2 linked regions of the Rhinolophus ferrumequinum genome follow. The protein of the gene in region 1 purifies or fractionates together with the protein of each later gene. This does not show direct contact. Links are inferred from orthologs where the notes say so. Each region holds a gene or a part of one and is shown on either strand. Other genes may lie near its edges.

Region 1 (7,262 bases):
CGGCAGCATTATTCTTGTTACGTGAAGGAGATTATCCCCATTATCCACATTCTGGATTACTGCCTGCTTTCAAGAACTGTCCCAATTAGTCTACTACACTAGGTCAGAACCATTTTATCACTTAGGTCAGTTTTGTAGAGTTGGAACATCTTTAAATAAAACAAAACGAAATAAAACTGTACTGTTCCATCAGTCTTCATCCCTGCTCTTTCACTGCAGGGCCTCAAACTTTTCTAATGCAGGCTCTATTTGGCCCCTCAGTGGCCTAGGGCCACCTTCTGCTTACTGCAGCAAGAATACAAATCAGCCACAACAGCTAATTGAATTGTTCACCATTTACAATGTTTTCTTCCATAATTATGGCTGAATTCATAATACCCTGCAAAGTACAGAAATCTTAAAACAAAGATAGTAACGGAATTATCTTTATCACTAGATCAGTCATCTTTACATACATGGACCAAAGTCTTAACTGATTTTATACAAAAGTCTTAATTGATTTTATACAAAGTATTCATATATACTTCTAAAAACAATCTGACAGAGATAAAATACAAACATCATAAATCATCAAGACTTCATCATTAATTCAACAAACACTATGCCTAAAACATTGTAAATTAAAATAAGATATAATCCCTACTTTCAAATAAAAGGGAAAATATAAAAACAAAATTGATAGCAACAGGGAACAAAGAAAATAATCCAGGAAACAACACAGAGCAATTCCAGACTATCTGGTATAATTGTAACATAGTTAAGGCTAAGGAAAATTATAAAAATTGGACACATCTCTGACTCTCCTCACAGCCAAAGTGTAAAGAGAAACACCAACACCTACAAAACACAAACAATGTAATAAAAGCAGCCGTTTGTTTTTTGTTTGGTTTTTTTTTTAAAAGGCTCATCACTGGGGTCTTAAAAAAACTGTCTCAAAGTCTCTACTCTGTAAGAATAAATAAAAAAAATTAGAAACAGTGTCTTGGATGGCAATGAAGAGTTTCATGTTGCCTTTTCTTATGTATCAATCCTAGATAGAAGTCAAGATACATAATATTAAATCATAGCTTTGTGAAGAAACTTCCATGAGGACATAAAATAACATAATGCAAATATACTGACTTCAGATGAGGCATTTAGTTCTATCATGTAGTTTATTCTAGGTTTTTATAAATGTATGTTTTGGTTCCCTACTACTGTAAACTCAAGGCTTATGTTACCTGATTCTATTTGAACTTCCTTTGCTATTTAGGAGAGTTGTTTACAGTTTCTGCTCAACTATAATGACAAATGAAGTGTTATGCAGTGTTTACATTCGTTATTTGTTAGTCTTCCCCTCTACACTATAAATTATATGAGGACAGGAAGAGTGTCTTAACCATGTCTTGTATCCCCAGTGTTGGGGCACATGATCACTCCATAAGTATTAGCTGAATGAATGGGTTAAATAAAGAAAACACAACCAAGAGGTACGAAAGGAGATAAATAATTTTTTAAAAGTGGCAGTAACTTTGGGTTCTAAGGCTGGTTCCAACAAGAGCTGGATGACCTTAGGTAAGTTCTATTTCTGCAATCGTCCAAGTTTTCATCTGTAGAACAGGAAAAATTAATATCTACTTCAGAGTTACTGTAAGCATTAAATGTTTTAATATAAAGTATTTAGCACAAAACTTGGAAAGGAACTCAATGAATGTTAATTCCTTTACTTTTGCTCATGTCCCCCAACTTAAAATCAGGTATTACACATAAAAGCGCCCCTTCCAATAATAAATTATTACAGTAAAAATACAAGAGAGTTCATTTTCACTTTTCTTTGAAAAGTTCAAATTTCATCTCTTCAATCTTTAAAATGGAGGGGGAATAACCTGTGGATTACTTTCAAAATATCACAAATACAAGAACAAGTTGAGGAAAAAACAATGTCAAGAATGACTCTTAAAGCAACAAGAGGGAGCAAAAACATCCTTCATCGGCTAGAAACAAGTTTTGAAGAAACTGTTTTATTAAAGAAAAAAGTAATATTATTTAATATGTTTCAGAAGAATCCTGCAAAATTGTTTACTTTTAATTTAAACCTTAAAAATCAATTCTTGTGAAATCTTTCACTTACAAGTGGGATGTTAAATGCTTTCATTCAAACCTTAAACATTCCTTCATGACGACTGCCCTGACTCCAGCCATCCTCCAGTTTCCTTGTCTCTAATACTTCGCTGTTTCCCTCGAATCACCACTTACACACGCAATGTGCAGACTGAGTTCTGTCATTCCTATAATTACCACACCCCTGTCAGCCGCTTCAGGCCCATGTTGTTATGACATCTGTAAACTGCAGTCGTTACGTCTCCACCCCCGCCTCCACCTCCCTCCAAACCACCGGCTCCGGCTCCGGCTGTAACTTGTGAATTCCCAGACCGTCCCATCCAGCCTGGCTTAGGATTTTCGCACGTCCCCCATCCCTGCTCTTTCCTGCCTCAGTCACAGCACTCTGCGCTGCGCACCCCGTCCCCCACCCGCTCGCTCGGGGCCACAGCGCAGGCTCCGCGCTCGCCTCCTCTCCGCCCCGCTGCCTCGGCGCCCCGCAGTCACCGCCGCCGCTTCCAGCACCGCCGCCGCCCCGCCTCGACCGGCGTTCCCGATGGCGATCACATCAGCGCTCCCCCCCCCCGCCGCCCGCCCCAGTCACTCCGCCGGCCGCGCGGCCGTTAGGACAGCCGGGCCAGTGACGCACCGACGCGCCGCGAGCGCCCGGGCCCAGGAACCCGAGCTCGAACACGGCCGGCGCCCTCCCACGCCCCGGGACCTCTCCCGGGTCCCGCCGAGGACTGCCGGATCCGCCGGCGGGAGGGGGAGGGGCCGGGGCCGCAGGGGTCCCCGCACTCACCAGGCTAACGGCGGGCGATCCCCGTGCCACTGCTGTGGTGAGCCGCTTGCTCGCTCGCCGGCCGCAGTACCCCTCGCGCACACAACCTCGAAGAGCCGGCGAGATCCTTGGCCGTGCTCACCAGGCCTCGCGATCCGCCGCCGCGCAACCAGCAGCAAGACCTAGCTCAGCCGGCGTTCGCAGTGCGTCTGCGCACGGGGGCCGGCCCTCGCGCCTGCGCGCGCCCCTTCGCTGCCCTGATACAGAGGCTGCCGGGAGATGTAGTCTTTCAACCTTCTTTCGGTGGAACCTCTCTCCGTTATCCCAACCAGCTGAAGAGTGGGAGGTCGAGGAGAAGGTCTCGCTGAGGAGGTTCGGAGTCAATTGTAAAGGTTGTAGAGTTGTGGTGGGTGGAGTGACCATTAAACGGTACTTCTTAGGTTGAATTACGAAGTTAAAGCTATAAAACCTGTCGTCGAAGCTCTTCCAGGGCGGATCGATCCCTTGCTCATCTCTATCTGTATCTAGCTTCCGGTAATGCCGTTAGTACCTAATATATTTTTCTTTTCTTTTCTATGGCTGGCAACAATGATAGCCATCTTTTAGGCATTTGTTTAAGTAAACTATCTCCTTCCATTTGTATAAAGTCAAAAATTTCATTAAATTCTTCCGTACATTTTGAGGACGCTGAAATTGACCAAACACTTTCATTATGAAAACCTCCGTATCACAGGTAAGCAAACCACACCCTTCTTTTAACAGTGTTCTGTATAAGGTGTTTGTTTAGCAGATGACACCCTTTCATTTTCTTTGGTAAGAAGTTTAGACTGGATAGAACTTGTCAAAATTAACATTCGCACTGAAAGCAGATAAATGAGTCAATTCTACTTTGTCTTTGGACAAGATGTAACACCCTTTGGTTTATGTGTTGTGGTTTCATTAAAATCTTAATAGACATCTTGAAGACAATTTGAAACTTCACTTTTCAAGTCAAATTACCTTTAGAGCTAGAGGGAACATGTTTTTGAATCAGGAAATGTAACCTCTCTCACTTCCGTAGATCAATCCAAGGCATGATACAATAATGCATATTGGTTCATGTGACATGCCCAAGATAATTCAGCCATTATTTTCAACTGAGCATGGGTGTCTCTTGAGGAAACTAAAAAACTTTTGAATTTAAAGTACTGTCTGTCTCATTCCAGAGTTGTAAACTGATTTACAGGGGCTTTCACATCCCCTCTCCACCATGCCCAATCCAAAATACTTCTCTACGTATTGTGCAGTGTGTTCTGTTTTTTCCTTCCTAATCTAGTTATATTGTCCTTCCATCTCTCATTAACATTACACAGTCATTTATATTTCTTTTTCAATGATGTTTGGGTCATGCTGTTGTTGGTATTATAATCATTCTCATTCTCATTATCTTACCTCTTATAAGGCATGGTTACCGTATTCATGATGCTAAAAAATTCAGTTTATACGAAGCACAACGATTAATCCACAGGCAAAGCCAAAGATGGACTGCTAATGCTTACGACTGCAGTGCACTTAAATTGCACACTTAGGTCACCTCCCTCAGAACGCTACAACAATTATCATAATTGTGAAATGCAACTCAGGGTTATCAACATCAATGGTCGGGGACAAAAACAATGATGGTGACTATAGATAGAAGTCAATCTATGGTGTGTCCATTCGACATTAAAAGCAGTGTTGCTTTCAGCCCCTATTTTGAGGGGGCAGTCATGGATTTTGTACTTTTCCCCTAATCTCCCACACCCATTACAAGAAGACCAAGATTTTTGGCGTGAGTGCTGGGAAGGCTGCCCAGGATGTGAGAATTTTGGTGCTAAATCCCAGAAGGTCGGGCAAATCAGGATGGCTGGTCACTCTTTCCCACCTGTACTGGCCAGATGGATCCTCTTCATCTAGCCAGTATAGCCATTCCCTTACCTGCTGTGAGTGCTGGCTGATAACTGTCAGCTGCCCCCTTCTCTGAATTGCAGACCCCAAAGGAGCCAGCTTTCTAGAAGGCTCCCACTCCCATCCCCAAGGACAGGTGTAGTCCAGTAATTGACAGAGTTCAAAGGGACAACCCTTGCTACAGAATGGGACTTACTCTAATGGTACAATTTGTGCTCTAGAACTTCCCCCTGGAATCAGACTGAAGCTTTCCCCTAACCCCATATTCCCTGAGAGTGCTTCCTCAATAAGTCACTTATTGAGAAGAGTGGCTCAAGAGTGAACAAGAATCCCCATCTCAGGCTCTGCTTCTAGGGAACCCAAACTAGGACATGATCCAAATTTGTTTTCCATTTCCTTAACCTGTTGTCCAAAACCACTTATTGAGGTTGGTCCATTGTTTTCCCAGTGATCTGCAATTTTACCTCTGTCATTCATATAAATACACATATTCAGGGCTCTATATTGAGAAAAGTATACATATAGATAGTTACATGACACTCAGAAAAATGAAAAGATCCAGTGAGCAAAACTGCAAGCATAAAATAGCAGTTTTGACCTGAACGTGAAAACTTGAATAAGAAATCAATTGTATTTTTTATCACATAAATTCTGACTTTTAAATGGTACTTAGCTTCTCATTGCAAATATTTGCAGGAAATTTTGAAATGTACCATAAATATATTGACACCATAAAACCTGCAATGTGAAAATGTGCATCATAAATATCACAGAATATTTATGTATATTTATATAATTTATATAGTATATATAATATGTAAACAAGATATATATGTATCTTGAATATACATAGTTATCAACTTTATTTTATATATATTCAATATATAGAGTTACGTATCTATTTTGAGATATATACATTCAAGATACCTATATTCTCAAATTTCCACATTAGCGCAGGTCTGTTTTGGAGGTTTCTATTTTACTCAGCTTTTTTTGGTCTATCCCTGCACCAATAACACATCTGAATTACTGTAGTTGTATAAGTCATGATATGTTATAGATCAAATCACCTTCACTTTGTTATTATTCTCTAAAATTGCCTTTGCTTTTCTTTGGCCTTTTTATTAAATATAAATTTTATAATAACTCCATCAATTTCTATGAAGAAAATCTGGCATGATTTTGATTGAAATTTCATTGAATTGATATGATTAATTTTTGAAGAATAGCCATCTCTATTATATTGTCTTCCTCTGGATGAGGAGATAGTATACCTCTCCATTTATTTAGGTCTTCTTTAATGCCTTTCAGTGATGTTTTGTAATTTTTTTCATGAAGTTTTTATACGTCTTTTGTTAAATTTATGTCTAGTTACCTTATTTTTTTTTTTGCTGTTGCTATTGTAATGGTAAAAAATGTCACATTTACTGTTTCTCATGCATAGGAATGAAATTGATTTATGTGTAACTTCCATGTAGAACCTTGGAGAATGCTTTTATTAATTCTAATAACTTGTCTTCAGATTTTCTTGGATTTTTCTATAGACAGTCATATATCCTGTGATTAATGACATTTTCATTTCTCTATTTTCAGTCTTTTTTTTTTGGTTTGTTCTTCTTTTACTGTCTTTGACAGAAGCTCTAATTCATTTGCTAAATTTAAGTGGAATAGGAAGCATCCTTTGTCTCATCCTGATTTTGTAGGGAATCGTTCTAATGTTTTAACATAAAATATGATGTTTGCTCTAAGTTTTTGGTACAGAATCTTTTATAAATTGTTTATCAAATAACTTTTCTCTATATATATGGAAATGAGCATACCATTTAATATGTAGTTGAACAACAACTGCTTGAATTGCGCAGTCCACTTATGTGCAGACTTTCTTTTTTCAATAAATACCTGTTCTGTTTTCCATACGCAGCTGGGAGTCCGCGGATGCAGAGGGTGAACTGTGTACATTGATCTATGACATTTTATATAGGGGACTTCAGCATCCCAGGATTTTGGTATCCGTGGGGGTCCTGGAACCTACCTCCACCATGGTTACCGAGGGACAACTTAAGTCTTTGGGGAGTTAGAAATTATATGCTGATTTTTGACTGTGCGGAGGTTGCCACCCCTCCTAAATCTCATGTTGTTCAAGAGTTGGCTGTAACTACATGGTGATTTACATTAATAGATTTTTCTAAAGTTAAGTTATCCTTGAATTTCTGAGATAAACCCAAATTGACCATGATTTATTTATATAGAGATAAATTATATTTAATATTTTGATTAGGATTTGTGCATCTATGTGTATTTACATAAATGAATGTCTATTGTTTTTCCTGTTGTATTTTATGTCTGTATTTTATACTGTTGTCTATCTTTGGTATCAAGGTTGAACTAGCCCTGAAAATTTTGGGGGGAGTATTCCTTCTATGTCTGTTCTCTAGAAGATTTAATATAAGATTGGAATTATCTGTTCTTTGAAGAT
Region 2 (7,489 bases), on another chromosome or scaffold:
CTGGGCCTTTCCACTTCTCTTTGAAAATAATACAATTTTCTATTCTTTACCTTTCCCTAGAAGATGTAGGATGGTTTCTGAGAAACCTAGCAACACTGCCTGCTGCGTGGGTACGTGGTACTGCGTAGACTATGACCTTCTATTACCCATAGTACATGTTTATCGGCCTAGCTTAGGCCGGTAGAGAAATTCTGTGCCTTTAGGATCTTGCCATTTCAGTGGATGGGTAGTGATAGCCTCATTGTGGCTGGAAAAACATGTTTAAAATTAAACCAAAAGTACAGAATGAAATTCTTACCTTATCAGCTCATCTGGGCTAAAGCAGCTCGTATCAGGGAGCCAAGCGGACATGTCATGGTTTCGAGTGAGGTACTCTATTAGAGGGGTCCTTTTGTCTGCAGATTTAAGACTCTTGGAGGAGCTCATCGTCATAGTCAGCTGCTTTAAAATAGAAGCAGTCTGGTGGCAAATTTCATCAGCATGTTGTGTTGCCACATGTCTATGGATGCTAGTTTGGTCTGTGAAGAGTTGCTGACAGCATTTCCACCATTTTTCTTTACATTCAAAGGAAGGTGCCAGAACTTCTTTGGTTTTGACAAAAAGGGCAAATGCCTGCAATTACACGCCAATGTCACTGTTAAATAACCTTAGGTTTAAGGCTAATGGAAGTCTCAGTGAAATCCCTTCTATTATCTTTCCACAGGGGTTTCCAGTTTTATGTTCTACTATTCTGTAGAACTTCCTGTGAGAGTAACAGTTTTCATAATAACCTTTATACTAGTTGGACCAGATCAGGAGTCTTAGGTAGCAGCTGCCCTAGTGTCTGTTTTCCTTATGACTAGGTCTCCTGGGTTCCTGCGATTCCTCCTGTCACCCTAGGTGGGGAAAGGAACCCAGCCCCTCTGTCTAGGACCGGTCCTCAAGTGCTCCACCAGAAGTGTTCCTGAGCCACACCTGCCTACGATTCTCCTTTGCCTGGCATTGAATTAAGATCACTAGTAATGGCTCTGACTAAACCTTACCTTGAACACGGCAACAGCCTAGTGTCTCACTAACCTTCCACTCCCTGGAGGACAACCTTGATAAGCTACTTCTAGATCTATCTGCGTTAACTACACATGCACAATCCCACAACACCAACAGCAATTTTACCTTTTTCTTTGCGAATGAGTATTTCTTCTTTGTATTGACATCGAGCTCTGCTTTGAGACTACTACTGGGATTGATAACACTTGTGTCTTTTAAATCCAGGTCTGAAAATCGTAAAACACAGGTCTCCAGGTCCTCTCCCTGGTCTGGTGAAGCGGAAGAAGGCATCTGGCTTGGTTGCAAGAATGGAGCAGATTCCTTTCAGTTAACTATCTCCTAGGAAGTGAGCAAGGGAGAAACAACAATGTCCAAGTTTTTGATTACTACTTGAAGTAAACTCAAAGCTAATCAATGATGCAAATGAGCATGGGCCCTGTAGCCCATTCGCTCATTCATTCAACAAATATTTATTTAGCAGGCATTGTTCTTGACACTGGGGATATAGCAATGAATGAAACAGAAAAAGTCTCTGCATTCCAGTGGGGAGAGACAGGAGGTAAACAAATGAATACATTGATTAAAAAATAAGTCAGATGGTAAAAAGGGCTACGGAGACAAATAAGCAGGGTAAGGAACCAGAGTGATAGAGGGGATCTTTAAAACACAGAGAGTAGTCTGAGGCAGTAGCATTTAAGCAGAAACCTGAATTAGGAGGCAAACCATGCAAACATTTAGGGTAAATGATATCAAAAAAGCACAGGTACAATGGAAATCAGCGAAGCTGTGTGCTAGCAACTTCAGTTATAAACACCGTTCTTTTTTGTCCCGTAGATTTTGAGCTGGGCAAATTCCCTTTCGTAGAAGAAATAACTACTGAAACAGCCCCCATTTTAATGAGCCAGAAGAAATATACAAATTGTTACTGTGGCCAGGACTTGTCCAAAGGGACACACTATACAATCAACACACTGCATTCTTGCTTTTATAAAACAAATGTTAACAAGTGACAAAGAGGCAACATAAAACACCAGAAAAGCATGGGCTCTGGATCGCGGTGCAGCTGGGTGCAAATATGTGAACCTGGGCAAGATATTAAACTTCTGAGTTCTACGTCCTTAATTTCTAAAATGCAGATGACAATGTCTACGTTGCAAGGCTGTAGTGAGGACTGGAAAGGACATGTAAAACGTCTGGCACATCCTTAGTTCTCCTACCACTCTTGGCTTATCTCAGACAACACTCTCCCTCAAGTATCCTACTCTGGCCACAGGGCACAAACACGCCATTCCCTCTCCTGCCTCAGTGTCTCCACATACACCTGTCCCACCACCCCAAATTGACCTCCCCTCACTCACAATCCTTTTCAGTTCTTGCTTTAAACTTATATATTCCTAACTATTCTATGTGGGGATTTTGGTATGTGCCCGGCACATAGAAAACAGTACTGCGGCTGCAGGCCTTAATGAAACAGTTCAGGTCCCTGCTCTCTTGTAACTTACATTCCAGTAAGGGACACTAAATAAGTAAACAAATTAAAAAACATGAAAATATCAGTGATAAGAGCTGCTGCTTCTCAATTGCCTTTGGTGGGGCGGATCCTCCATATTGTCCCCAACTTTAAATGTTGAATGACTTTATCTATAGTCACCCTGCAAGTGATCTCATCTACTCCCAAGGACTTAAAAACTTTATTTGCCTCAGAATAACTGTGTAAGGGGAGGGGGATAATATATGTGAAACTAGACTGGCTCTTAGTTGGTAATTGTTGAAGCTGGTTGATAAAGTACATGGAGGTTCATTGTATAATTTTCTCAACTTCTGTAAATATTTGAAACTTCCATTAAAAAAAAGGGAAGCAATCATAAATAAAGGAAAATTTAAGTTAGAATACTATATACTGACTCCAGATTTATATCTCCAGGTGGAGCCCTCTCTCCTGATCTCCAAATTCACACATCCAACTGTCTACTGGATAGCTTCAGCCGGAGGGTTAACAGGCTGTTCAGAGGTAACCGTTCAAAACCAAACTCTTGCTCTTCCCCAGTCTTCCTTACCTCCATAAATGACAATTCTATCCTTCCTGTTACTCAAAAATCTTTGGGCTTCTTCTTGACTCCTTATTCTTTCAACACCATCTTCCAGTCCGTCCGAAAATCTTAGTAACTTTGCTTTTTGAAATACAACCAAATCAGATCACTTCACACCACCTTTACTACAAACTCCGTTCAAGCCACCATCCTTGCCTGACTGAATTATTGCCACAGACTAACTGCCCTCCTCCTGTAGGAGACAGTTACCTTAAAAAATAAGATTAGTCTCCAAAGGCTTCTCAACTTACTCAGATAAGGTCCAAAGTACTTACAAAGCCCCTCCGACCACCGCTCTAATCTCAACTTCTACTACTCTCCCTTTGCCCACCACCTCCGATTGCACTGTTTTCTTTGCCCGTTCTTAGATGGGTCATCGGCACCAAGAAAGCAGGGATTTTCCTTTGTTCACCTCTGCATCCTCAGCATCTAGAACACTGCCTGGCACATAGGAGGTGCTAAATGTCAATATATTTGTTGAATGAACTAAAACATTGGGTAACCAGGGAAGGCTTCATGAAGGACCTGATGTTTGAGCTGGGACCTAAATGACAAGCCATCTATGCAGATTTAGAAGCAGAGATCTCCAGGCAAAAGAAATAGTATCAATTCCTAAAGTGGGAACAAGCTTAACTCATTGGAGGCACCGGAAGAAAGTCCGAGTGGTTGGAGTACAGTGATGAGAGACGAGAACCCTGGAAGTCAGGGTATGAAATCTGCAACGGCAAGTCATGGGAGAACTGGGAACAAAAAGGAGTAACGTCGTCTGATTCTGGATTCGTTCTGAAAGTAGAGCCAGCAGGGTTTAGGGATAGATTGTTATGTAGGAGGTGAAGGAAAAGGAGGAGCCACGAATGACTTCTACCTACATTTTTTAATTAAGCAAGCGGCTGGACGCTGCCGTATATCGAAATTGAGCACCGGTCTGGCCCAACTTCTCCGCCCAGCGTTCCCGAGGAGGCAAAAGCCCCGAAGTGGGAGTAAGATGCGCACGTACCCGCCAGTCCCGATCCTTTCTTACACCTTTCTTCATTGAACCTTCTCCGCCTAATCAGTAACACTGCTCACCACCCTCGAGCCTCCACCCCCACCTTGAGTTTACGTAGCAAAAAAACGCTCGGGACGTCACTTCGCTCCGGAAGTCTTCGAGGATGTGAGCGAAAGGGCCGCCGGGAAAATCATTCCGAGCCCCTGCGGGCGGGTCTGGAGTGGAGGCGGGGACTAGAGCGTCCGTCCTAGACCGCTGCCTCCAGGCGTGGCTCGCAGCCCCGGGCTTCGGTGGGCCGAGGAGGCGGCGCGATCTGCGTGTCCCCGGAAGGACTTACATTGAAAGGTGGGAGAGAGAAGAGGCGGAGGAAGCCCGAGGGGGCGGTGGCGAGCGGCCGGGACGCCCGCGGCCTGAGGAGCTTCTAGCTCTGCCCAACCTGCCGAGCCCACCCGGCCGCCTCCGCTTACGCTTCCGGGAGCCGTCGCGAGCAAGTGCGCCTGCGCGCCGGCCACTCCGCGCGCCTCGCCGCTGTCCTCGGGCCGGCGTCCCCGCGGTTCCTGCGGCGCTTCCCGCCCCACTCGGCTCGTCCGCGCACCGGCGTGCAGCATGTCGCGGCGGCGGCACAGAGACGAGAACGACGGTGAGTGTCCTGGGCCCGGCCGACGAGGCCGCGCCCAGGTGGGTGCCGACGTTTGGCTTCCTTCGTCTTCGAGTCTCGAGGGAAGCCCTTCCCACCCGGGAGCGTTCGGGAGTCGCGGAGGGAAGGGGGGTGGCACCGCGGGAGTGTGGCTGGGCGACTTCTAGAAAGCTCTTACCCCTCGCTCCCGCTCCTTTAGTCGTTGTCCGGTAGGAGGCCTGAGGGGGCCCCAGGCCTCTAACGACCTGTCAGGATTTGGTCCTTGGCACCGCCGAGCAGAGAAGTACGTACTTCTGTGGGTCTGTGCGGCGCCTCTTGGGGACAGTGGCAGGGACCCTCTAGCCTCAGTTTCTCCTTTTGACCCTCCAACTCACCTGGAAAGGGCTCTCCCACACGATTGAAGGAAAGGAACAAAGCCGTGACTGAGAGAGCTGATGAATCGCTTTGTGAGCTCTGCTCCCCTACCGGTCATTGTTGATTTGCCTTCTTTCAAGCTTCAGGGAAAGCTTGTGTGTCTCTTACCCACACCCAAGAGGTCACTGACAAACACATGCGTGTTATGTTAGATTTGCACTGGCCGTAATTGTATTTCCGTCGTGTAAGAGAGTGCTGGGAAACTAACTGGAGAGCTCGCAGAGATTTAGCTCAGGAGTTGCCATGTCCATTTGGATGGTTGTGCTCGTGGGGGTCAGGGTGTTGTCATAAACCAAGAATAATTTTGCTAGTTAAAAGTAGGAAAAGGTGCTTCCACTGCAAAAATCAGTCAAGAACACACATCCACAATAAAAGGAACTAAGAGTCATTCTATTATTAGTATTTTAGTGTATTGTTTGAAAAGAGTGTAGTGTTTAAGAGGCCAGACTGTGGAATTAGGGGGTTTAAGTTCAAAGCCAGACCCTAGCATTTACTTTGTGACCTTGCTCAGGTTCTATCACCTCTTTAAACTTTAGTCTGTAATGTAGAAGTCATATAGAAGGTGATACATACCTCCCCACGGTTTTGTGATGGTTAAGTGAAGTTACGCTTGTAATGAATGGCTCGTGATGATGTTTATTTAATCATCTGTTAATACTTAAGAGGTAAGCATTGGCAGATGTCAATGATGTAAGAAAAATACAGAACAAAAAATTTTAATTGAATTTTCTGCACTAATATTTTTCTCTCCTTGAATGTCGGGGCAGTTAGGGTAGGTAAAACTAAAACAAGTGTATTTAGTTTTAACAACGAAACATCAGATTTCTGTTGGGGCATGTCTTGAAAGGATATTCTAGTCCAGCTTTCTCATCTGACACCTAAAGGTCTAGAATTTTAGTGTAACTGACATGGAGTCACAGCTAGCAGTGCCCAGACACCAGTGAGTGCAAGTTCCAGGGTCCTCTTCACTACCCAGGCATTATGCTTCATGCCTTTTTTTAAAAAAAAGAAACACAGGAGGTTTCTTGTGTACATTTGGGGCACACAAAATACAGTTTTCATATGCTTTGAGTTTGATTAATCAGAAGCTAATACGCTTGAAGTCATCATTTGGTGTTTAAAGAACTTGAGCCTTTTGTTAAAGTTCTTCCATTTTCTTTTCTCACACTTTCTTTTCTCCACTTCTACTTCTCTCTTTTAGAGTATCCCTACAGGGAGAGAAAATGTTTCCAGAGGGCTACCTGGAGAACTGGATTTGAATCTGTAGAAACGCAACTTTTGCTTCGGTTATTGGGATGCTGCTGTAACTTTCTTGGGAGTTACCTTCTTTTAGTACCAGCTGGCAGCTAAATCATTGTCTATTTGGGTCTTGCTGCAGGTACCTCAGAATAAGTAAAAACCAAAAAAGCAAATAAGGAGTTAATTAATCAAAGTTTACTGTGGTGAATGAATAATTTAGTAATGGAAGGGCAATTTATAGTTCCTCTTGGATACTACACTGAATCTGGAACTTTTGTAAATTGCCACAATTTGGGTAATAATTAGCTAGGGTTTACCCTAAACAGTGATCTGAATCAAATATTTTAGATACTTTCCTTTTAGTTGGGCATCTGTTAATTTTTAATTAGAAATATTAGAAGCTTAAATATTATTGAAGGCTATTTTAAAATAGGCTGAATTATTATAATCATAGTTTAATAGATATATCAGAGCATTGCTGGATATTGTCAGCTCTTAGTCAGTCAGTGACTGCCATAACTTTCCATGTGCTTGACTAGATATAATCATTTATTCAACAAATATTCATCAGAGCCAGGCACTGTCCTAACTACTGGCAGTACAGCAATGGACAGTATAAAGATGGAGCCTCCCTTTTACAGACAGGAAACAGTCAAGTAAAATATAGTATAGTATATGGTGATAAGTGTTACAGAGAGAAAGAAAACTGGGTAAAGAGGGTAGAGACTGCTGTGGGGGGGGGGCAGGGAATTACTGTTTTGTATAGGTTGTTCAGGGAAGACCTCCCTGAGAAATGCGTCTGCAGTGGGTAAGGGAGCAAACCCGCCGGCTACATGGGGGAAAGCAGGGGTCTCAGCATAGGGAATCAAAGACCTTAGGGCTAGCAGAATGAGTGAGGCGGAGAGGTAGCAGAGGATCAGCTCGTAGAGGGTAATTTTAAAATTGTATCTGTGTTGAGACGAGTATTTGGGATCCAGGGAGACAGTTAGGATACTATACCAATGGAGTTCCCCGAGAGGTCAATTTATAGACAAGGAAAGGGAAGTGCTAAGTGGAAATTAATGTGCATGAATGCTGGTTCAGTGCTAAATCTAA

What was found.
Region 2: the proteins of KPNA1 (region 1) and NCBP1 purify together in Homo sapiens (co-immunoprecipitation; 3 studies listed by BioGRID and IntAct, with this or other methods). This does not show direct contact. The link is inferred for Rhinolophus ferrumequinum from reciprocal best matches to the Homo sapiens genes KPNA1 and NCBP1.

The regions. Positions count from the first base shown.
Region 1 is NC_046285.1:47,275,997-47,283,258, forward strand, and holds the start of KPNA1 (importin subunit alpha-5), read right to left. Parts: upstream 3,079-7,262; 5' UTR 2,882-3,078; intron 1-2,881. UniProt on the Homo sapiens protein: Functions in nuclear protein import as an adapter protein for nuclear receptor KPNB1. Binds specifically and directly to substrates containing either a simple or bipartite NLS motif.
Region 2 is NC_046295.1:54,148,961-54,156,449, forward strand, and holds the start of NCBP1 (nuclear cap-binding protein subunit 1), read left to right. Parts: upstream 1-4,466; 5' UTR 4,467-4,710; coding exon 4,711-4,744; intron 4,745-5,115; exon of another isoform or gene 5,116-5,193; intron 5,194-7,489. Other genes in the region: TSTD2 (thiosulfate sulfurtransferase/rhodanese-like domain-containing protein 2), read right to left, coding at 299-612, 1,153-1,317. UniProt on the Homo sapiens protein: Component of the cap-binding complex (CBC), which binds cotranscriptionally to the 5'-cap of pre-mRNAs and is involved in various processes such as pre-mRNA splicing, translation regulation, nonsense-mediated mRNA decay, RNA-mediated gene silencing (RNAi) by microRNAs (miRNAs) and mRNA export.